Ovis aries: one gene and its partners. The protein of the gene in region 5 interacts with the protein of the main gene of each other region in a biochemical or structural test. Links are inferred from orthologs where the notes say so. Each region holds a gene or a part of one and is shown on either strand. Other genes may lie near its edges.

Evidence for each region.
Region 1: the proteins of MAP1LC3C (region 5) and NBR1 form a complex in vitro, tested with the Homo sapiens proteins (2 studies listed by IntAct). The link is inferred for Ovis aries from reciprocal best matches to the Homo sapiens genes MAP1LC3C and NBR1.
Region 2: the proteins of MAP1LC3C (region 5) and SQSTM1 form a complex in vitro, tested with the Homo sapiens proteins (6 studies listed by BioGRID and IntAct, with this or other methods). The link is inferred for Ovis aries from reciprocal best matches to the Homo sapiens genes MAP1LC3C and SQSTM1.
Region 3: the proteins of MAP1LC3C (region 5) and NEDD4 form a complex in vitro, tested with the Homo sapiens proteins (2 studies listed by BioGRID and IntAct). The link is inferred for Ovis aries from reciprocal best matches to the Homo sapiens genes MAP1LC3C and NEDD4.
Region 4: the proteins of MAP1LC3C (region 5) and STK3 form a complex in vitro, tested with the Homo sapiens proteins (2 studies listed by BioGRID and IntAct). The link is inferred for Ovis aries from reciprocal best matches to the Homo sapiens genes MAP1LC3C and STK3.
Region 6: the proteins of MAP1LC3C (region 5) and KBTBD6 form a complex in vitro, tested with the Homo sapiens proteins (2 studies listed by BioGRID and IntAct, with this or other methods). The link is inferred for Ovis aries from reciprocal best matches to the Homo sapiens genes MAP1LC3C and KBTBD6.

The regions. Positions count from the first base shown.
Region 1 is NC_056064.1:42,917,185-42,920,684, reverse strand, and holds part of NBR1 (next to BRCA1 gene 1 protein), read right to left. Parts: intron 3,290-3,500; coding exon 3,143-3,289; intron 2,653-3,142; coding exon 2,577-2,652; intron 2,057-2,576; coding exon 1,946-2,056; intron 1,692-1,945; coding exon 1,527-1,691; intron 1,312-1,526; coding exon 1,234-1,311; intron 80-1,233; coding exon 1-79. UniProt on the Homo sapiens protein: Ubiquitin-binding autophagy adapter that participates in different processes including host defense or intracellular homeostasis.
Region 2 is NC_056058.1:1,199,702-1,203,201, reverse strand, and holds part of SQSTM1 (sequestosome-1), read left to right. Parts: coding exon 1-108; intron 109-867; coding exon 868-948; intron 949-3,500. UniProt on the Homo sapiens protein: Molecular adapter required for selective macroautophagy (aggrephagy) by acting as a bridge between polyubiquitinated proteins and autophagosomes.
Region 3 is NC_056060.1:52,607,608-52,611,858, forward strand, and holds the start of NEDD4 (E3 ubiquitin-protein ligase NEDD4), read left to right. Parts: upstream 1-1,451; 5' UTR 1,452-1,951; coding exon 1,952-3,499; intron 3,500-4,251. UniProt on the Homo sapiens protein: E3 ubiquitin-protein ligase which accepts ubiquitin from an E2 ubiquitin-conjugating enzyme in the form of a thioester and then directly transfers the ubiquitin to targeted substrates. Specifically ubiquitinates 'Lys-63' in target proteins.
Region 4 is NC_056062.1:78,383,212-78,387,385, forward strand, and holds the start of STK3 (serine/threonine-protein kinase 3), read left to right. Parts: upstream 1-1,374; 5' UTR 1,375-4,174. UniProt on the Homo sapiens protein: Stress-activated, pro-apoptotic kinase which, following caspase-cleavage, enters the nucleus and induces chromatin condensation followed by internucleosomal DNA fragmentation.
Region 5 is NC_056065.1:34,213,969-34,218,258, reverse strand, and holds the start of MAP1LC3C (microtubule-associated proteins 1A/1B light chain 3C), read left to right. Parts: upstream 1-1,490; 5' UTR 1,491-1,579; coding exon 1,580-1,637; intron 1,638-1,743; coding exon 1,744-1,799; intron 1,800-1,997; coding exon 1,998-2,104; intron 2,105-4,290.
Region 6 is NC_056063.1:11,708,823-11,712,936, reverse strand, and holds the start of KBTBD6 (kelch repeat and BTB domain-containing protein 6), read left to right. Parts: upstream 1-1,314; 5' UTR 1,315-1,606; coding exon 1,607-3,733; 3' UTR 3,734-4,114. UniProt on the Homo sapiens protein: As part of the CUL3(KBTBD6/7) E3 ubiquitin ligase complex functions as a substrate adapter for the RAC1 guanine exchange factor (GEF) TIAM1, mediating its 'Lys-48' ubiquitination and proteasomal degradation.

The DNA of each region.
Region 1 (3,500 bases), on a different chromosome or scaffold from region 5:
ACAGCCTCTTCTTCAGCAACTTGGACAATCTCCTCCCTCTCGTCTGCAAGTGGTCCCTCTTCAGGTAAGGCAAATTTCACTAAAGGGTGAAAGCATCCAATTTTAAGGTACAAGCTAAGAACAGTCCCTCGTACTTTCCCTACCCTATACCAAGCCTTGTGGGTCATGAGCTATAATTATGAAAGCCAGAGGAGAGGGACAAACCAAAGGGCCATATTCAAAGTCTGAAGCTGAAAAGAACCAAAGTTCATAAAAACAAGGTCAGCAGAAACAATAAAGCTTCTGAGAACACTATGACCCTTAAAACAAGGAGGCCCTTTTCCTTTTCCCTTTCAGGTGACAGCTAACATAACTGTCAGAGCAACCCCAAGGACTATACAATTCATGGACTTCTCCAGGCCAGAATACTAGAGTGGGTAGCCTTTCCCTTATTCCAGGGGATCTTCCCAACCTAAGGACTGAACCCAGGTCTCCCACATTGCAAGTGGATTCTTTACCAGTTGAGCCACAAGGGAAGACCAAGCATATTGGAGTGGGTAGTCTATCCCTTCTCCAGTGGATTTTCCCGACCCAGGAATCAAACTGGGGGTCTCCTGCATTGCAGACAGATTCTTTACCAACTGAGCTATCAGAGAAGCCCCTATCATATTGGGATGGTTTCAAATCGAAACTGCTAAAGTAGCTAACAGTGCTATGAGAAGAGAAAACATCTGGTGCTAAGTACTGCAGGACTATATGACTACTTTTGACTCCTTTCCTCCTCCTCTTTGCAAAGTAATGAGTAGTCATGACAGAAAAACTGGCAAAACATGGATGAGTTGAGAAAAAAATAACAACAAACCACCGGTAATCTTACTGAGACAACTACTGTGAACATTTTGGTGTAAGTTCTTCTAGACTTGGTTTAGACTTTTTTTGTTATCCATTTGTACTCAAGTGTGTGTGTGGAAATACATATATATTTTTTAAATACATAGTTTTAAAATTTGAGTGTTTGAATAGTATCTGAAATACATGAAATTGGTTCTACCTATCTGACCTCTAGAAATTCTGCCACAAAGAAATTTATGACAGCAGAATTTAACCCTAAGAAGTTTTAGCTTGGTGCTCCTGTTTTGCCCACTATTTCCTGACTGCTGCCCTTGGAGAAATGAGACAACTCAGCTGCTGGGGGTGGGGGTGGGGGTGGGAGGGCGGGGGAGGGTTCTCTGCTGAGGGGCTCCGTCCACTTACAAGACGACTTCTTACTGCAGAACCCAGGCAGCACAGTTGGCTGCTGTTCCTCTGTGGCATACAGCTGTAATTCAGCCCCTGGGAAAGTGCAGAAATGAATTACGGGAGCTGCTTTGCTCCTGATGCACATGTAGAGTCTAAACGAACAACCATGATCCAACCTCTAACAAAGATTCCCGTCTCCACTCTGAGTAAAGAAGAGCACTTCTACCTGCTCAGGTCTGGCAATCTCAAGTCAGGCGTCACCCCAGTGGGGGCGTGGGGTGAGGTCCGGGAATTTCAGGGACACTCACTATGCGGGGACTTCTGTCTCCAAGGTGGTTTGTGATCCGGGGCGGCATCCAATGTAAGGGATCGGATGACAGTCTCACACACGAACTGGGTCCCACTCAAATCATCTTCTGGTTCCTCCACGGAAGAAACATTCTCAGCCTTTTTCTTTACTGACACTGTGGAATCTGGAAAGGACAATTTTTGTCTGCACTTGGTGTTTAAAGTATTGCAGAGCTTTCTCCAGTCATGTCCCCATGCTGATATGATGCCAAGGAATAGCTGCTGTCTGTGCTATGTGAAGGTAAGGAGACTTCAAAAAATCAGATCGTTGGAAAACCCGTTCACACACCAAGGTAAGGTTAGTAGAAGGTATGGATAACAACAGGGCGTGGTATGGAAGGGGAGGATGCAAATGCTTTACAAATATTTAACCCCTTACCAGGAAGTGCTTTAAATCCCGCCCCTTCACTCTCTTCCTGTATCTGCCCCAAGCCTGGCTTCTCTATTAAAGGACTGTCATGTGGCAGAGGAGACATGCAGGGAGTCATATCTGGAGAATGAAGATAGGAGAACCATCAACCAAGAAAAAGCATTGCATCATCAATACTCAGTGTCCAGAAGCAGCACCTTCTAGGTTTCCTGCCTCCTGCAGAACTAAAATAAACCCAGGTACGCTTCAAGGCCTGTTGTAAAGAATTTCTCCAGACCATCAAGTACACAAGTATCTCAGACAGGTCCATCAACACAGGAAGGATCATAAACAGTTGTTTGGCTTTGGAAGACCATGGCCAAGACACAGAACCATGAATGTAAAGTAACAAAGGGACACAAACGCCTAGAGAGAAACGGAGAAGAGGGTCCCTTTATGGTGGAGAAACTCTGTACAAACTTGTTGCCTCTGACGGACAATAGGGAAATGGAAAATGGGCCCATGGGTGCAGTTTTAATATCACATTGTGGGAGAAATCCTTGCCTACTAATATCTCCGAATGACATAGTCACTACCAGAGTCAGGGGGGCAGTACTATTGGGCCTGTTAATAAACAAGGTGGACCAAATGACATTCTTACCCACAGGAGTGTTGTGGGGCACTCTCTCCAACTCTTGGACAATATTTATATCCAATAGCTCAAAGGACAGCAGATCCTGAAAAAAAAAAAAAGGGGGGGAGGGCATGTTAGGCTACTTGCAACACATGCTAGAGCCGTGTTTTGTGTTAAAGGCCACTGAGCTCCACATCGTCCTAGATGCAACTCATGTTCAAATTCATGCCTCATCTCAGTCAAGTGAGAACAAGAAGAGTTAATGGGAACCAAACATTCAAATAGCCACTGGGAAGAGAGAGAGCAGATGCAGTGGGGGTGAAGGTGAACCAGTTAGGCAGAAAGAAGAGGCAGTGAAGGGGAAGTTGTGGGAAGCACAAGATAAATTTCCAATTCAAAGAGGAAACATTTAGTTTAGAAACTTGCTTCCATTGGGGATGTTCTTGCCATTTGACGCATCTCACTAGATTAGAGTGGGTCTATCTCTAACTTCCTGGGCACCACCGATGGCTCTACCCGCTTTCCTTCAACAAGTTAAGAACTTGTTCCCCAGGGCTTTCTGTCCCTTCCCCTCAAAATGCTCAATCTTCCACCTGGGCAGTCAGAAGATCCACGGATGGGATGTAGAGCTCCCTCTTGCTGGCAGCACTCTTTGCCTTCTGTGGGATGTGGGTTCCTGTCCCTTCTGTCTGCTCAGTTGTTTCACCAGGCAGAATTTCTTCTTTACCCAGAAAAGCTTCCTATGGAGAGAAACCATTGGGACACATTTTCGGCCCTCAACAGAACTCAAAAAGCAAGTTGACGGCTGCCTCCCTAAAGTCAAATGCACTGTATGTAGTAAAACTTCTTGTTTTAATTTCACACTTTTCTATGAAAAAGCTGCAAAAAGAGTACAGAGAGTTTACTAATTACTCCCTTCATCTAGCTTCCCCTAATGACAGTAACTTAGAT
Region 2 (3,500 bases), on a different chromosome or scaffold from region 5:
AACATGGGCACTTTGGGTGGCCTGGCTGGGAGATGGGCCCACCGGGGAACTGGAGCCCACGTCCTCCTCAGGCAGGGGAGGCCCACCCTGGCCCTGCCACGGAATCAGGTGAGGGTTGTATCTGCTGGCCTCTGAAGGATGAGATGTGAGGGCCTGCAGAGCTGGAGGGCTTTCCCTGTGCCCTAAAATCCTGCATGCCTGTGGCTGGCCTAGGCACTTTGTGGCCGTTTGTGCATTTAATCCTCATAAAATCCTGCAAAGTGCAAGCATCATCTCCATTGTACATCTGGGAAAACTAGTGCCTCGGTGCTCAAGGCCACTAATGCACCTGCCCCGGTGGCCCTCCCATGCAGGTGGGAGGCCCCTCCAGCGCCTGCGTCTCCAGTCGGCTCTCTTCTTGTTCATGCTAATTGTTAGGAAAGTCACAGCCAGGTTTGCTCAAGTCTTGTAAAACAGTTCCCAAGTTAAAAATTTACACATAGCTTGCATTCTGAACTTTTAGATTCTAGTTTTATTCTGATTTTATTAGTATTACTATGTCCTTTGACTCACCTTGTCCTTAGTGACAAAGATGAGGGTATTTGTTTGAGTAAATAATGCTTTTTCCGGGGGAGGGGTAAATAATACATTATACTCTGTGTACAGAGTTTCTAGGCACCAGGAAGGTAGATGAAGGGGGAGTGGTGTGAAAGACAAAGGGGCCTAGGAGGTGGCCTAGAGAGGGGGAGAGAGGGAAGCAATAGGGTATAGGCTGCTGGGAACAGGCCCCGGGAGTAGGGCTTCTGGGACAGACAGGACTGTGACAGGTTTCAGTCATTGAGAGAGATGCTTTGAATTAAAAGTATCTTTTGTTTTTTGAAACCAAAGCCTCTGGTCCATCAGAAGATCCCAGTGTGAATTTCCTCAAGAATGTAGGGGAGAGTGTGGCGGCTGCCCTCAGCCCTCTGGGTAAGTGCCCCTCCTTTGACATCAGCAGAGCGTTTGGTAACCAGTGTACAGGCGGCTGTTCTGTGGCTTTCAGCTGGGATACTGCAGAGGAGGGGCAGCTGATGTGTCTTTGAGACCAGTAAGGATTCGCTGGCCTCATATCAATCAGTCTTGACCAAGTGCTGCACCACAGGCCGCTTGAGGTTGAACTCCCTGACAAATTCTTTAGCTTTCCACACAGAGTGAAGTGGAATCAGCCAAGAATCAGCCAGCATTTGGTTGGGTAATCCCACTAGGGAGGGTAACCAGGCTCAGTTTAAGGCTGCCCTTCATCTTCTTCCTTTGGAAGACCACTCTGTATTTCTCCTTACTTGAGCCTTGGGGTTTCTTTGAGGACTTCAGTGAGTAGTTAGCTGAGATGCCATATTGCTTTTCTTCCCTTTTCTGCAACCCCCAACCTTTCCTGGTGCTTCCTAAGAACTGGGCTTGTGCCACTGTCAGAGGGAAAGGAGTGAGGGAGGAAGGTTCTCGTGTCTGCTGCTGGATTCCCAGGGTGCAGGCCCAGGGTGGGTGTCTGGGTGGGTGAGCTGTGCACCTTCATAGAGTGACTTGGCCCAAGGCTAAAAATAAAACTTCAAACAGCACTTGCTGTGTTGTGGCCATAAGAATCAGCTGATGAAGGTGACTTATGATGGATCCATGATGCCATCTTTGTGACTGCAGTGGCAGGAAGTGTTACCTGGTCTGTCCAAAAGTGGTGTCCAGTGTCTGAAAGAATGCTGTAGGAGGGTGTCCAAGCTCACCCACCACCCGCCCTGTGGCTCACAGAGCATGACTGCCATTGCTTCCAACCTGAGACCATTTCTGCTCACATTGAAGCAGCTTTGAAGTAGCAGTGACATCTTGGCATCACTGCTACATGAAATAGATCTCACACAATTTCTGCATTGGAGTTAAAGACTTTTGAGCAAGTGAGGAAAAATAATTAGTATATTTAATGCTTTCTAAGGAGGGTAACAGTGGAGTAGAGATGAAATAATTGGGAGATAGGTTATTCCTAAACTCTGCCACTCACTTAAGACATAGTGAAGACATAGTAGGATTTTAAGTAATCCCAACTAATGGGTTGTTACTTAGAGGCCATGGAAAATTTTTCTTCGGAAGATAGTAAATGGACAGTGGTTCTCAAGTGCACTGAACATCAGAATCACCAATGAAAGGTTGATTTTTATTTTTTGTTTTTGTTTTTTTATGGGAGGGTATATATTTTGGTGTATGGAAACTCTTAAAACTGATTATCCTGAAGAGAAAAGTTTTCTTTTGAAAGAATGAACAAGATAACTTGGGAAGTCACAAAACCACATCTACATTCAGGCAGGAGACTGTAAAACAGTGAGGAGTTCCAGGTCCCTTGATTGGTTAAGTGGATTTTGGGTAGGGCATGAGGGTCGATGTGTTCTGAAGGCTTCCCAGGAGACTGTCACACTTGCTTTCCATCCTGAGACCCATCTGAGCTTGTGAAGTGTTTCAGAACTGGACCTGGATTCTCCACTCAGGACACAAGGGAATAATTTTAGAAGTGTTCTGAGGTCTTCGGCAGTAAGAATTAAGGCTCTCAGGTCTTTCAGAGTGGCGGGAGTGCTTTCTGCTAACTTGGGAGGAGTCTGGAACCCTACAAAACAAGTTTCAGTGGAATGTGTGTTTGAGTAGCTATTCAAGAGAGCCATTCGAGGGATGGATTAAACTCTGTCTTTGGAGTTACAGGTATTTTCCTTTCTTTTGAGGAACTAACAGGATAACTCAGTCTACTAACTGCTTAGAAGGGAACATTAGTTCCAACAGCAGGGGCCCAGGAGGGATATAACCACTAATACCTCTCAGAGGGCAGTCTGTACAGTGAGTCAGCGACTGAGACCTTTTTTTGATAAGTGCTGTGAGAGCCAGCTGAGCAAGAGCATGAGCCCAGGGCTGTACCTGGCTGGAGGTCACAGCCACTGACTCCTAGGATGTAAAACAGCAGGGCCGTGGAGTCTTCCACAACCCCTACATAGAGGCTTTGGGGATAGCAGGGCAGAGACTGTGGTACAGTCTTCTAAGCCCTGAAGTCTCAGATTATCATCAAGTTGGAAAAACTCTAATTCAGTAATCTCGAAAATTCATTACAGAAGAGTCGCATCATTCACCCATTTTAGAAAGTATATGGGTATCCATTGTACTGTTCTTCTGTCTTTTCTGATTATTTGAATGTTTCACAATGAAAACTGCAGGGGAAATGGAAGAAGAAAAACAATGTAAATATTGCAGATGGGGTACCAGTTGCTAAGCCTGCTTTTATTTTCTCTGCTTGCTCCTCATACTCTACTAAAATAATAGTGAAGGGGTTAAACAAAATAAAGCAACATGGATAAAGAAAAAGGGAAAAAAATAATGGAGGACAAGATAAAACAATCTCATCAAACTTTGGAAGATGGAAAATGGATGGAGGAAAGTAACCAAGGTGGGATAATTTGAGGATTAATCCTGGAGGCCCAACATAGGATGAAAGAATTCCAGAGAGAACAGAGTAAACTGAA
Region 3 (4,251 bases), on a different chromosome or scaffold from region 5:
CAATTTTATTACTAAGTTTACAACTGTACACATTCTAAAACATAGTAGTATCTCATTCTAGTCAGAAATAGAATCTAGTAAATTCCATATTTCTGTTTTGTCCTGTCTTAATTGATTAAAAATGCTGTTTAGAAAATTATGATTGAGAACAGATATATCCTAAGTTTTCTTTTTTAAACAAAGTGCAAGTATATGTTTTACATATTTGCTTTTACTTAGGAAAAAAAGCTTACTTAGGAAAGTACAACTTGGGTGTAGTACCATGTGGTGTAAACAACTGAACTATTTTACTTTTTACTTTCCTATGAATGAGCCAGTATATATTTATTACTGGAGTTCCAGCTGTAAAATTCAGGTAAGAAGTTTAAATATACCCTAGAGTATTATTTTAAAATAAATGTGTTTCTTTCAAATAGAATACCAACCTTGGTCTATGACATTTAGGGGAGAAATTAAAATATTAAACTTTTATTACCTAGTAAACTGAAAATAAAGTAAAGGTTAAATAAATACAAAGCAGAAAAAAATGTATATATATACAAAATCACAACGTCTAAAAGGACAAACAGTTTACTGTTCTCTCCTGCGGGAGCTTTATCAGCAGTAGTAAGTAATTCCATCTTTAGGTCAGTGCTAGTACTCAAAAATGTAAACAAGTATGTACTTTGTCTATATAAAGAAATATGCCATACGGTTTATACTTCTTTATAGATATCAAACAACTAAATGAATTGTTTCAATGCACCAGTAGGGGCCAGCAAAGAGCTCTTAGAGTTTTTCAGAATAGAGTTGGCATTGAGATATGTTTATTTGATGTGTTAAATCCTTTTTAGACTTCTTTACTTACCACAACACTCTCTTAAGTGAATGAATTGCATAGACAGTGGAATAAAATATCTTGTGTGCTCAAACTATATTAGGGTATAGTTTTTCTGTCTAATCTGCATATATTTTTAATGGAATGTTTGCTTAGGCTATTTCTTGGCAGAGTTTTAATAGTCAAAATATAAATGGAATCATTTAAAGACTGTACTGCTTGGCTGGAAAGGCCTTAAAATTACAGGAGAAAATGCTTGGTGACAGCTTCTCACAAACGTTTTTTTTCTCAGACCTATGCTCAATTTTTGCAATGGTATTACTAGGCAAATTTTGTATTTCGATCCTTCAGCTTTCACTTTTTATAAGTACGTAGTGTTTTGGAAACTAAAATATTTATGTTTGGTTTAATGCTAAACTTTCAATTCACCCCCGCAGTTTTGGTGTTTCCAAATATATACAAACATTTGAACTTTCTCCTTTTAAAAATATTAACAGTCTATATTCCTTTCTACATTTACTAAGTTGACTGGATTCCTAGTATGGCCACTATTTGGAAATGCAATCCTTGATTTGATACTCAATTACATGGAGTTTCGTTCCTACCAACTTCCTGTAATTCTATCCCTATGGGTAAAAATATTAGTGGTCAAACTCTGCTGGAGAAAGTATAGGCACCGTGATTCACAGAGTTAAATGTTCATTTAGTAGAGCTGGAGTGAAAAAAATACTGTTTCAACTTGAAATGCTAGAAGATTGTTGTTCTTGTGTTACTCATTCATGCAAATTGGAGAAGGTATAATTGAAACAAGGTTGGCAGTGTTTGAGGCAGTGTGCTGCAGCTGAGCTCAGCTTAAAGGTCGCTGGAAATCAAGTGCTTTGTAAGTGAAGGCATTTTGACTACAAGCGATTCAAGACATTTTGGAAACGTCAGTCTCAGGAATGGGCCGTCTTTTTCTTTCATATGCTATCTGGTCTTTAAGATTTTGCTTAGGATAAAGACTACTACTTCTGAGCTCTTTCAGGCACACAAATGATTTTTTCTTTTGCTGCAGTGCAGCTGCTTCTAGCCTGTCTACCGACAGAGATCTTTGTTATGACTCTCAGCCCTTAACATGTTTGGAAATGAGAACAAATGGCACAAAGCTTACGATTGCACTTTGCAGCCAGAAGAAGCAATACTTATCCTTTGTCAGAAACCTCCGGAGATGATTTGGATAGCAGCATTCACATGTGCTTCACGAGACCAGCACGGATTTCAACGGCGAACGTGGTTCAAATGAAGCTGACTCCCAAACAGACTGCATTAGCTCCGTTAATAAAGGAAAACCTTAAGTCTCGGGAAAGATCATCTTTTCCTTCACCTGAAAATGTTCATAAAAAGAGCAGCTGTCTGCAGATATCATTACAACCAACAAGGTACAGTGGATGTCTTCAGTCTGGCAATGTCTTAGCTGATGGTGATGATGCTTCATTTACTTGTGTCTTAAAGGATGGCAGTGCTGTGGTTGATAACGAACTGAATGCCACGGATGATGGTAACCTCTTAAGCAGTCCTGCCATTTGCAGTGGTAGTCTTGGTAACTTTTCAGCCAGTGAAAATGGGTCTTACAGCAGCAATGGTAGTGATTATGGGTCCTGCACAAGTATCACCAGTGGAGGTTCATACACCAACAGTAGCATCAGTGACAGCAGTGGTTATACTTTTCCACCAACTGATGATACCTTTTTTGGTGGAAATTTATCTTCTGACAGCGCCTCCAATAGAAGTGTGCCAAACAGGAATACTGCTCCATGTGAAATTTTCTCAAGTACAAGTACAGTTCCCTTTGTCCAGGATGACTTGGATCATGGACTAGAGATTATGAAATTGCCAGTGAGCAGGAACTCGAAAATTCCACTAAAACGTTGTTCATCCTTAGTCATTTTTCCTAGGAGTCCTTCAAATACACCACCAACTTCTCCAACAAGTACAGGTACTCTTCCAAGCAAAGGATCCTATCAGACCTCACACCAGTTTATTATTTCTCCTAGTGAAATTGCCCACAGTGAAGATGGCACTAGTGCTAAGGGATTTCTTTCAACAGCTGTCAATGGACTTCGGTTATCCAAGACAGTCTGTACTCCCGGAGAAGTAAGAGACATACGACCTCTTCACAGGAAGGGCTCATTACAAAAGAAAATCATTATTGCAAATACTAGTCCAAATCAGACTGTCTGTGAACAGCCATCTGAAGGATATTCTTGTGTTTCACTGCATTTTACCCAACAGAAAGCAACTGCATTAGATTGTGAAGCAGCAAATGGTGATTGTAAACCAGAGATGTCAGAAACTGAGCTTAATTCTGATCCAGAGTTTATTAAGCTTATGCATAGGACATCTGCATGTTTACCATCCTCCCAAAATGTAGATTATCAAATAAATATCAGTGGACAGTTGGAAAGACCAAATTTACAGATAAACAAAAACCATGCTCTTTTACAGAGAAGTATTTCATTGGGGGGAACTTATCCAAATGTTTCCTGTTTATCTAGCCTTAAGCACAATTGTTCTAAGGGGGGACCATCTCAATTACTCATAAAGTTTGCATCTGGAAATGAAGGTAAAGTTGATAATTTAACCAGAGACAGCAACAGAGATTTCACAAATGAACTACCTAATTCTTTAAAGCATTCTTATAAGGTAAGTTTCCTTTGGTTTTGGAAAATGTTAGTTTATACTAGAATAGCTCTGTGAAATATTTGGTAAAATTTATTATAACTTGGCTGCTTTATATATTTTCTTGGTCCTTAGCTAGCAAGTACTTTGTAGTCATGAATTTGATATTTGTGAATCTGAAAAGTGCCTAATAGTTTTTTACTCTATTTATTATTTTATCAGCATACAAGATATGCATTAAAAAAAAACCTTTCCAAAGTGATTTAAGCCATAAAACATTCTGTAGCATAAGAACAGGCTTTAAATAATAATTTTTTAATAATATTTTGCCTTAGTATATTTTCCCTTAGTATATTTTCCCCTTGAGTGGCATGGTGTTTTAAAGTCTAACTCCGTATTTCATTCTTATTTTCAAAAATGCTCATTTAGTATTTATTTTAAAGCATTATAAATGCTTTAAGCATTAAGCATTTTGAAAAAAAAGCCCTTTTAAGCCCTCTTTAAGCATTATGAAAAAAAGTAAAATATAGAAAGCCACTTAAAGTATTAAACAGTAAAAAGTCTACTTAAATGTGAAACTTTTCTTATAGGTGAACATAGAGAAAATATTTCTTTGAAATACATATATTTATTTGATCATTGATAAAAACTATTATACTGAATGTTTAAAGCAGAGGAAAAATAAATGGTATTTGCATTTGTATATACCCTTAACCACAGGAATTTTGTTCCACCCTGTTTTTCTTTAGCTACCAGTTAAGGGTGCCTTCTAAAAT
Region 4 (4,174 bases), on a different chromosome or scaffold from region 5:
GCCACACTGAATGTAGTGCATGAGAGCTCTCACTGCAGTTAATAATTTTCTTTTTAATTAGACATGATCCATAAGCATCCCGAGGACCAGGGGCTGGCTGGGGGAAAACAACCAATAATCATGAGAACTAGAGAGGGAAGCGTTGGCAGTTAGCAGTACTTCAAAAGGTTGCTTCAAGATGTTTGGAAGGGTATCCTTGGGAAATCCAAAGAAACGAGTCAAATCAGATAGGGTCAAAAGCAGTGAAGGCGAGTGAGGAGCGGCAGCTTCGGGCCACTGGAAAAGAATGTGTCCCAGGCCAGCCGAGATTGGCTCTGGGTCCAGACTAGGCCTCAGCCTCTCGCCCTTCCACTCCGGGTTTCTTTCCTCCCGACTCCTGCACCAGGGCCGGCCCTGTCCTGCGCCCCGGCCCCAGCGCCCGGCCCCGCCCACCGCACTGGGCCGCCGCCGGCCCCGCCCACCCATCCCTGGCCCGTGGCCGGCTCCGCCCACCCTTCCCCGGCCGGCCCCGCCTACCCTTCCCCGGCCAGGGCCGGCGGCCGAGGGGCGGGGCGGGCCGGGAGGAGCCCCGCTCGGCCCGCGGGCGGGGGATCCGCCGCGGAGTTACGGGAAAGTTGGTCCGAGTTCCTGGAGTTTCCTGCTGTGGCTCTCCTGGCTCGGCCGGCTGGTGCCCCGGCACTCTGCCCGCCTCTCGCCTTCGCCGCCCACCTGGTCCCTCCTTCTGACCCTGGCCGCCATGGAGCAGCCGCCAGCGCCCAAGAGGTAAACGAACGCGGGGCGCGAGGAGCAGCAGGGAGGCGGCGCCGCCGGCCGCGGGGCGGGGGCGGCTAGGCCGGGCGGGACCGCGATCCCCTTCCCGCGGCTGCGGGGCCCCCAGCCGGGCGCGCCGGGGGTCGCAAGGCGGGTCCTAGCGCCGGGCCGCGCCTGTCGGTGGGTGAGGCGGGGCAGGAGGGGAGGCCAAGCCTCGAGTGCCCCCGGCCCGCCGGGCCTGGCGCGCGCGGGGAGAGTCGGTGGGCAGCGCTGGGCGCCCCGCGGCCGGACTCCGGGGGCGGGCGGGGTTCTCCCTCGTGTCAGGTTCAGCATCTGGGAGACGTAAAACTAGGAAATTATTGGGCTTCGTACAACCATCAAGGCTTTCTTGTCAAATATTTTCCAGAATGTTGCCCACCCCCCACCTTTTTTTTTTTTTTGAGAAAGCGGGTTATTTATTTACAGTTCAAGGAATTAAATATTAATAGCTAGACAGTGTGTAAAACTTAACTGTGCAAATGCTGCACTAACAGGTGTTCCTCGCCCCTTACTCTGCAAGTTCAAAATTATTTATGGATGCCGGACAGTAGTAGTCTTAAATTAGAACCCCTCCCCCATATGTGTGTGTGTGTGTGTGTGTGTGTGTGTGTGTGTGTGTGTGTATGTATAGGTTTGTTTTTCTTTTAGCATGTAAAAATAGTGATGCTTTGGTATTTACTGTTCGTTAATATTCTCTGGTATATTGGAAAAGTAGCAGTTGAAATGGTCTTGAAAAGCTAAATCAAGGCTGTCCATTGATACAAATTTGTAATGTGTATTTCCCCCCATAAGAGTGAATCAGTTGATTGATGTTGGATAAAGCATTTCAATTTGTAAAATAAGGGTACCAATCTTTCTCGCAGATAGTGCTGTTGTGAAGAGTGAATAGAGTTTTGATAGCTAGAGATCTTTAGATGAAAGGCGATATATTCAAGAATATGGAATAATTGCAAAGGTAGGAACTTCATGAGCTATTGTGAATTGTGTGACAAGACATGTGAGCCTTGAAGCCTGGGAACCATCTGTTCAGGTGAAAAAGGGGGGTTGTTGGGGAGTTTCCGAAAGAGACCTGCTGTTGGAGCCCTTGATAAATTCTTCTCTGGCATTTTAAAATATCCCAATTCTGAATATTGATTTGGCACTCAGTTTTAATACTGTAACAACTGGAACCAGTTTTCCCCCCATTTTGTTTTGGAAGGACTGTAAAGGGTACCTCTGAGATCCTACAGTAAGGCCAAGTTGAATGACTCTGAATTGAAGGAGAAACTCTATTGATGAGCTCTACGCCAAGTTATGAGAATTTCACTGTAGATTTAAGAGCGAATTAGAGAACCTGGAGGGGTTGGGGGAGGGGTGGTGGTGTGTACCACCATCCGTTGATGACTTACACTTTTCAAAGTGGTGGGTTGCACGTTTAAGAGACGTATTTTTAGCTCTCTTCAGAGAGACATGTTCATCCAGGAAGGCATTTCTAAAGCACAAAAGATATGTGACAAATCCCATATGTTTGAATATCTCTTAGATTTTTTTCATAGCGTTTTCTTTTCCATCCTATTGTTTATAATCCTTAAAGCAACCCCATTGAGTAGGTTGGATTATACACGTTAATCCTGTTTTATGAGATGAGGACACTAAAGAGGGTTCACCACATGGAGGGCTATGACAGAGATAACTGACAGTGAATTTTTGTGTTGTGCCTCTTAATGATTGCCCTCTAATAATGAAATGAAGCTACCATTTTTTTTGCGATCTTAACTATTTGCCAAGAATTTTGTATATACATTCTTTTACTTCGTTGTCTCAAGGAATAGGAATCCTGGCTCTGCCACGTACTGTGCTAGTTCTGAATTTAATTTCTTCATCTGTAAAATGTGTTTGGAGTAAATGAGGTCGTATGTAGAGCACTTACAGTACAGTGCTTCATAATATGTTCAATAATGTTAATTGTCTATATTTTCCTCATTAAATGAAACTTGAAAGTGAAGTCGCTCAGTTGTGTCCAACTCTTTGCAACCCTATGGACTGTAGCCTACTAGGGTCCTCTGTCCATGGGATTTTCCAGGCAATAGTACTGGAGTGGATTGCCATTTCCTTCTCCAGGGGATCTTCCCGACCCAGGGATCGAACCCGGGTCTCCCACATTCCAGGCAGACACTTTACCATCTGAGCCACCAGGGCAAGGTTAAATAACTTGGTCGGGTGGAGGAGCTGCCAGTGGAACGCTTAGCACAGTGCTTTATAATATGTTCAGTAATGTTGAGCTGCAAGGGTTGTGTCCCCACTCATTGTGTCTCCAGTGATGCCTCTTTTTGCAACCAAAACTCTGCTTGCTGTCTTAGCATTCCACAAGCATCTCTTTCGATAATCTTGTCCCCTTTGCTTGTTCTCCTTTTAATCTCTGTAAGAATTCCACTTCGCTTTTCTGCTGTGAGTAGCTCTTCCTTAGGGCTCAGACATTATTACATGGTCACAAATGTGTTGCTGTTGATCGAGTCTATATGACCAGTAGCTGCTTCGTAGCATTTTTGGTTTCTTCATGTGGATCCATTTCTTTCCTTATCTTATTTAGTTTGTCACTACATCATATAAAATTTTCCATCAGAAAGTCTGTGTCTACCCCCTTTCATTTCCAGTATTACTACCCCATTCCATGGTTTTAAGACCCTTAAGAGTTGATTTATAGCAGTGCCTTCCGGTTGGGCACAGTAGTTCAGTGCTTATCAAAATATTTTAACAGCAGAAGAGCTGTCTTTGGAGTAGAGGCAGAGCCGTAGGACTTGGTTCTCAACGCCTCACCTCCCTCTGTTCCCCTTTTGGTTTCGTGTGGAATCCTCTGCTGATCTATATTACACTGCGTTAGTTCATCCTGCACGCAGCTTCTGTTCTGATTTTTTTTTTTTTTTCTTAAACATCACTTTAGTCATACTCCTCCTTATTTTGCAGGCGGGGGGAGATTGGGGCATACTCGCTGACTGGTACCCAAGAGCTCCATAGCTTGGTCTCAGCCTTAACCCCCAGCCTTGTTACTTCTGCAAGCTGAATCTTTCCTTCTAAAGTCTCCCTATTGTTCTTTGTTTAGGTTATAGGCTGTGGGTACTCCCAGGTTTGCCTTTGTTCATGATTTTCCCTTAGAAAAGTTTGTGTTATTTATTATTATTATTTTTTTACTAGTAATCTATGTTTTATTCAAAGCCTGCTTCATAAAGTATCTTATTTGAGTGCTTTCTAGCCTAAACTGTTTCTCTTTATTCCTATAATGATAATCATTTGAGTATCAATCTTAAGATTGTTCTTTTTTTTAATTACAAAGTTTTAGACATCCAAAAGATAATGGGGATGAATTTAGTAAATACTTACATATCACCACTCAGCTTTAGAAATAAAA
Region 5 (4,290 bases):
CTCCAGGGGATCTTCCTGACCCAGAGATTGAACCCATGTCTCCTACATTGGTAGGTGGATTTTTAACCAGGGAATCCTACCTAGCTTCCTAGGCAGGAGAAAAGGCAAAAATAAATAAATAAATAAATAAATAAATAAGTTTTAATGGAGAAGTTTTAAGTAGTGAAAGTGAAAGTCTCTCATTTGTGTCTAACTCTTTGTGACCCCATGGACTATACAGTCCATGGAATTCTCTAGGCCAGAATACTGGAGTGGGTAGCTGTTTCTTCTCCAGGGTATCTTCCCAACCCAGGGATCAAACACAGATCTCTCGCATTGCAGGTGAGTTCTTTACCAGCTGAGCCACAAGGGAAGCCCATACAGAAGCAAAATAAACTACTTTTCTTTGTGTCTCTCCACAAACCTAGAGAATGTTTGGTTTTCTCTATGTCATCATTATTAGGCTGAAGACTTCAATGTCCGATGTCCTGCATGGAACAGAACCAGGGATGACCCATGAAAGTCATGGTACCTTCAGAGACCATGGAAGAAGTCCAAATGGTCCTATTTATTCTTAGGACATACCTGAATAAGATGGCAGGACCACTGTGCTCCTGGATGTAAGGTAAGGAGGTGATCAGCATCAAATGAGAAAGCTGAATCACTAGAACCATAATTAATGCATAAAAGAAGCACAATCAGGTGAAACACCCTGATCTGAGAATAAGGAGACCAGTGAATCAGCTTCTATGGATCTCAGTTTTATCATCTTAAATGCAAGATCCTGAGAATAACAACCAGTGTTCTACACACATTCCTAGACCTGTAAAAATATGAACAAAATATGTTGGAAATACTACTTTGCTACACAGCTGGATTTTAACACTGGTTTTACATATTTTTATCTGGACAAATTGTTCAACCTTTTGGGAATACCTATTAGTATTTCTTACTGTGAAAAATAGCAATATATTTCAGGATAAGGTGAATCACTATTCAATTTGCTTCATTACTGTAGTATTACAATGTCCTCACATGAAACTGTTTCTATCCATAACTTCTTAGCTTAGGCTCATAGGACCATTTATAGGGAGGACCAGTGCTTTTTGTTTTAGTCACTGTCATGTCGGACTCTTTGCCACCCCATGGCTCCTCTGTTTATGGAATCTTCCAGGCAAGAATACTGGTGCGAGTTGCCATTTCCTTCTCCAGGGGATATTCCTGATCCAGGGATCGAACCTGCATCTCCTGCAATCTCAGGCAGATTTTTACCTCTGGGCCACTAGGGAAGCCTCGATGATCAATGAATGACAATATAAAATTTAATTTGTTTAGCAAAAACAAAATTTTTAAATAGTAGTGAGTGAAGTAACTTTCTTGAACCAGCAACCAGGTGCCTGTTTCATTTCCTTTCTCAGCACTGACCTCCTCCTGCCCGGGGAGAAGGGAGGATTGGAGAAGGGTGATGTCACACAGCCCTACATAAAAGCCTCCTTTGGGCTCCTGCCGGCAGTTTGGAAGCAGCTGGAAGGATGAATTAGGTCCTGGTGGTGAGATTTTTTTTTTTTCCAGGCAGACACAGACACAACTGTTGAGCAAAATGCAGACTCCACAGAAAAGCCCAAGCCTCAGACCTTTCAAGCAGAGGAAGAGCTTAGGTAAAGCTCTCAGAATAGCTGTCTGGGTTTCGGCCCTTGAGACAGCAAGAGAAGGTACAGACTTCTGTATATGCCGATGTGCTCATTTTATCTTAAATGTTCACAGCAACCAGAAGAGAGGAAGTTGCTGGAATCAGAGTGAAGTTCCCTGGCAAGATCCCGGTAAGACTCCATTGTCCTGGGGAGTGGGAGTGAGGGTGAGGGCAGGGATTAGGGGGAGGGGGCTGTGAGAGCCTATTCAAAACACCAAAACCAGCCAGTGACCTCCTTCTTTCTAGTCCAAGTTCCTCAGACATAGAAAAGTGAGGTGTATCCTTTGACATTTGCTTCAGAGGAGATTCAGGTTGAAACCCTTGACAGGTGATAGTGGAGCGCTACCCCAGGGAGAAGTTCCTGCCCCGGCTGGACAAGACCAAGTTCCTGGTCCCACAGGAATTGACCATGACCCAGTTCCTCAGCGTCATTCGGTAGGTAGCTAAGAGCCTGGGGGGTGGGGGGGGGTGTTGTGTGGGCTTGGGCTTTTGGGACAATGAGAGATGGGAGGTGGCAGAGAAGGAGAATGATTTGTGCTCCCCCTTTCTCTTCAATATGCCTTTTGTGTGTGTGTGTGCGTGTGTGTGTGCATGTGTGTGCGTGTGTGTGTGTGTGTGTGTGTGTGTGTGTGTGTGTGGCTGTCCTGCATCTCCATTGCTGTGTGGGGGTTTTTCTCTAGTTGTGGCTGGCTGAGGCTACTCTAGTTCTGCTGCACGGGCTTCTCACTGTAGCGCTTCCCTTGTTGCAAAGCATGACGCTAGGGCGCGTGGGCTTCAGTAGTTGCATCACGTGGGCTCAGCAATTGTGGCTCCCAGGCTCTAGAGCACAGGCTCAGTGCCTGTGGTGCAGGGGCTGAGCTGCTCTGCGACATGTGGGATCTTCCCAGGCCAGGAATCGAAGAACCCGTGTCTCCTGCATTGGCAGGCGGACTCTTGGACTCTTTACCACTGAGCCACCAGGGGGGCCCCAACTACGCCTTTAAAAAGGATGATCTCATGAGTAACCAGTTTTAAAATGATGTCAAATATTTTGCTACCGCCCTAAAATAAATGAGCACTCCCAATATTGATGTATCAGCTATTTTTCCCTTTGTCCTACATTTTACTGGTACTGTGTTTTAATTTCTGCCTTCAAATTTCTCTAAGAATTTTTCAAAGGAACCTTTAGAAACTGGTCCAAAACCCTGTTTTCAGCTATTTTAAAAGCCCAGTGACAGCATTGTACCTCTAAATATTTTCCCTCTTGTGGCTGGGAGGGAATTTGGGGTAGGAAAATGCACTGTCCACCTGCTGAATCACTGAGCAGGAGAACCACACCTTCCCCCACATCCTTCTTTCTTCCATTCAGAGCAAGGGAAGGCGTAGAGTAAAACCAGTGTTGCTGACTTTGAAACTTAAGGGATTGAGGTGGTCATCTGCCAGCTGGACTCAATAAAAAGTGATATGAAACCAAAAATAGCTGACTAAGGGTTCCGTAAACATGGCTGGTGTGTGAGTCTCCCTGTGCTGGAAACAACCTCTCAAAAGTTTTGGCTGATGCAGACAGTTTCATCTGAGAACTTATTATGATGCTTTTTAAAATGAGCTCTTTCAGAAGGCCCTGCATTCTTCTCAGACCTACTTAAGGGTTAGGTTAATCCATGGAAATTGGGGCAACTCAAGGAGAACCACAGTCGGATGTAGACCCCTCCTTCTGTCAGCCAACAGGCTGCTGGGGCACAGCGTGGCTTCACCAAGAAGTGAATTTTGACACAACTTCCTCCTTTTTTCCATACAGGTACACCTCCAGTTATCATACGCTTCATCCTTCATCCTAATAATTTTGAATCTTTGTATGTATGTTAGTCACTCAGTCGTGTCCAACTCTTTGCAACCCCCGGGTCTGTGACTCACCAGGCTCCTCTGTCCATGGGATTTCCCAGACAAGAATATTGGAGTGGGTTGCCATTTCCTTCTCCAGAGTATCTCCTCGACCCAGGAGAACCTGATCTCCTGCATTGCAAGCAGATTCTTTACCATCTGAGCCACCAGGGAAGCCCTTGAATCTTTACATTAAGTCATAATGGGTGCTTAATATCAATATGTTTAGATGACTTGACTCTTAACCTTGTCATTAAGCACACTGATATTAAGCACCCATTATGTATCATGCACTGTGCTGGGAGCTGCACAAAGAGCAATGAAAAATACAGACCAAAAGTCCTATGCTAAACAAGATTTAAACTAAAGTTTCCACTCTTGGAGACTCCTCACCCTTAATAAAATGAGACCCTCGTGGAAGAAGAAAGGAGATGAAGGTGCAATGTGGAAATATAGGAGCCCCATCTTCAGATCTACACTTTCCATGTAGAACAGGCATTTGCTCACCACACGAGAGCAGTGCAATGGTCAGGGTCTGGTCTTTGGATTATCCAGTGTTAGTTAACCAGATTCTGAAATTACTTCCTCTCCCACCCACCACATAAATTTAGCTCCTCCTAGCTAAGAGTAGCGGAGAAGGCAATGGCACCCCACTCCAGTACTCTTGCCTGGAAAATCCCATGGATGGAGGAGCCTGGTAGGCCGCAGTCCATAGGGTTACAAAGAGTCGGACATGACTGAGCGACTTCTTTCACTTTTCA
Region 6 (4,114 bases), on a different chromosome or scaffold from region 5:
AAGTAAACTGGTATACAATGAAATATTATTCAATGAAAAGAAATAACTATCAAGCCATGAAAAGACATTTGAAAAACCCTGCAGGTTTAAGCTTTGGGTTTTTTTTTTTTAATAAATAGATTTTAAAATCAGATTTTAAAGTTTATTAGAAAATTCAATAGAAAGCTTTATTAATCTGAATTGAATATTGCCAAGTGAAAGAATGTATATTCCAACTGCATGATATTCTGGAAAAGGTAGAACCAGACAATAAGAAAATTAATGGTTCTGAAGGGCTGGGAGGCAAGGAGAGGGAGGCATAAATAGGTTGAACAGAGGATTTTTTAAGATTGTGAAACTGTTCTGTGTATTATTGTCATGATAGGTACATGACATACATTTATGACATACATGTACATCATACATACATGTACACGACATACATGTTATATAGATACATGACATGCCTGTACAACACAGAGTAAATCCTAATATAAACTACATGTTTTAATTAATGATAGATAACTGTAAGTTCATAACTTTTTAACAAGGGCATACACTAATGCAAGATGTTGTAAACAGGTGAAACTGAGAGGGGGTGGAGTATATGAGAGCTTTCTGCAGCTTTCTATTGGATTTTCTAGTAAACCTAAGACTGGTCTTAAAAATCTATTTGTTAAATGCAAAAACAAAAAAACTTAAAAGGTATCTCTGCAGAAACCTGTAGGGTTTTTCAAATTTCCCCACAGGCTCATGGTCTCAAATGAGAGGGTGCTTCATTCTTCATGAACGCTAGAAGAAAAGCTAAAACTCATTAAGCCTTTATATCATGGGTACTGCGTATAAGTACATTACTCTGCTAATCAACAAATATTTATTTAAAGCAAGGAGAGCCAACCTACGCGATTTAATGCGTATATCACCTACGCGATTTATGCGTGTATCATCTACGCAATTTAGTTCGATCGTCATACAATGCTATGAAGTACCACTGCCATTAACGTTTTTAAAAAACAAGCGGCAGCTCTGACAGAAGCCAGACAACTGATAAATACAACAACTGGCATTTAGTCTGAATTCCAAACCCAAAGTTCGAAACCATAAAGCCGAACGGAATAGAATTAACCATTTCGAACTCCGTCGTCCGAAACAATGAACGGGCAACAAATCTCGCGATGCTATTGAAGCTACTACTACTCCCGATATGCAAAGCGGTTTCCGTGCCGCAACCTGTGCCGCAGCAGGTGCCGCAGCCTGTGCCGCAGAGTCCGCGGGGTCCCGGCATGCCTCGAGGCGCGAAAGGCAATCTGGGAGCCGTAGTTCTCCTGGATGCCTAGTGGTGGTGCCGGCGCGGAGGTGGCGGATCGCTCGCTTCCAGCCAGTAGGTCCTCTGAGGGCGAGCTGAGGCGGAGAAAGGGCGTGGAACTGGAACCCGGTGAGTGGGACGCGGTCTACGCGATCGAGGGAGGCGGCACCGCGGCAGAGGGCTGACTTAAATAAATGGACCAGTGCTGCAGTCTCTCCGGAGACACCGCGGTCTTAGCGTCAGCGAGAAGAGGGTGAGGAGGCGCCAGAACCTGGTCCTTGCACCCGTTCTCATCTTTCGCTCTCCGCCGCTCTCTCCATCATGCAGTCCCGGGAAGAAGCTTCGCGCTCTCGCCGCCTCGCCAGTCCCCGCGGCGGGAAGCGCCCCAAAAGGGTTCACAAACCCACGGTTTCGGCTTTTTTCACTGGCCCGGAGGAGCTGAAGGACACGGGCCATTCTGCAGCTCTGCTGGCCCAGCTCAAGTCCTTCTACGATGCGCGGCTTCTCTGCGATGTGACCATCGAGGTGGTCACCCCCGGCAGCGGGCCCGGCACGGGCCGCCTCTTCCCCTGCAACCGAAACGTGCTGGCGGCCGCGTGTCCCTACTTCAAGAGCATGTTCACCGGCGGCATGTACGAGAGCCATCAGACGAACGTGACCATGCACGACGTGGACGCCGAGTCCTTCGAGGTCCTGGTCGATTACTGCTACACCGGTCGCGTGTCCCTGAGTGAATCGAACGTGGAGCGCCTTTATGCAGCCTCCGACATGCTGCAGCTGGAGTACGTGCGGGAAGCCTGTGCCTCCTTCCTAGCCCGCCGCCTTGACCTGGCCAACTGCACAGCCATCTTCAAGTTTGCTGATGCCTTCGGCCATCGCAAGCTGCGATCACAGGCCCAGTCCTTTATAGCCCACAACTTCAAGCATCTCAGCCAGATGAGTCCAATTCGCGAAGAGTCCCTGGCAGATCTGACCCTGGCCCAGCTGCTGACCGTCCTGCGCCTGGACAGTCTCAACATCGAGCACGAGCAGACCGTGTGTCATGTGGCGGTGCAGTGGTTGGAGGCGGCTCCCAAGGAGCGGGGTCCCAGCGCTGCAGAAGTCTTCAAGTGTGTCCGCTGGACCCACTTCACTGACGAAGATCGGGGCTACCTGGAAGAGCTGCTGACCAACACCGTGGTGAAGAAGTACTGTCTGGACCTCATTGAAGGGGCCCGGCAGATGCGGTATGGTGACACATTGTGCAAGTCTCTGGTGCCCAAGCCAGAGAGCAGTGGTGGCAGCAGTGGCAGTGGCGTTGTTAGCTGCGTTGCTTGTGGTGGTGGTGGTGGTGGAGGTGGTGGTGGCGGTGGCAGCAGCAGCGTCGTTAACGTTGTTCTTGGCGGCGGAAGCAGCAGCTCCGTTGTGCCCATGGCTGATCATCCACCTCAGAGGCTAGGTGTGTATGCCAAGAAGATGGTGATCTTCTTTGGCCATCCCAGAGATCCCTTTCTGTGCTGTGACCCATACTCGGGGGACATTTACAAAGTGCCATCACCTCTGACCTGCCTTGCTCACACTAGGACTGTGACCACCTTAGCTGTCTGTGTCTCTCCAGACCATGACATCTATCTGGCCGCCCAGCCCAGGAAGGATCTCTGGGTGTATAAACCAGCCCAGAATAGTTGGCAGCAGCTTGCTGACCGCCTGCTCTGCCGGGAGGGCATGGACGTGGCATACCTCAATGGCTACATCTACATCCTGGGTGGTCGGGACCCCATTACCGGCATTAAACTGAAGGAGGTGGAGTGCTACAGTGTCCAGAGAAACCAGTGGGCGCTGGTGGCTCCGCTGCCCCATTCCTTTATTTCCTTTGACCTGATGGTCATTCAGAACTATCTGTACGCTCTCAACAGTAAGCGCATGTTCTGCTTTGATCCCAGCCACAATATGTGGCTGAAGTGTGTTTCTCTGAAGCGCAATGATTTTCAGGAAGCCTGTGTCTTCAACGATGAGATCTATTGCATCTGCGACATCCCTGTCATGAAGGTGTACAATCCAGTCAGAGGAGAGTGGAGGCAGATTAATAACATCCCCTTGGTGTCGGAGACTAACAACTACCGGATTATCAATCATGGCCAAAAACTGTTGCTGATCACCTCCCGCACCCCGCAGTGGAAGAAGAACCGGGTGACCGTGTATGAATACGATGTTAGGGGTGACCAGTGGATTAATATAGGTACCACATTAGGCCTGTTCCAGTTCGATTCTAACTTTTTTTGCCTCTCAGCTCGCGTTTATCCTTCCTGTCTTGAACCCGGTCAGAGTTTTCTCACTGAGGAGGAAGAAGTACCTAGTGAATCCAGCACTGAGTGGGATTTAGGTGGGTTCAGTGAGTTGGATTCTGAATCAGGGAGCTCAAGCTCTTTATCTGATGATGATTTGTGGGTTCAGGTAGCCCCTCAGTGAAATGCACAGCAGAGTGTGTTACAGATAAATTGAAACACTAAGGTATTTTTACTGCTTTGGAAAGTATCTTAAAGAGATACCCTTTCTCTTTGCTGGAAGGAAAAAAAAAAAGTTGATTAATTTCAAGTTTGGCTTAGAAAGGGTATTGTTTGAAATACTAATATAATATCACAGAATTTAAACATCTTTAAAAGAAATCAACCTGTTTAATAATTTACTGTTCTAAAAGTCCAGTGTGGATTTGTTTGGTATGTTTATGTTTGACAATATAAGTTAATTGTAATCAGTAGTCTTCTATGATTAAATCTTACATTGTCTTGTGCCACAAGTGTTTCAACTTGAATTTTAATTTCTACACTAAAAAACTGATTGGATAGGAAT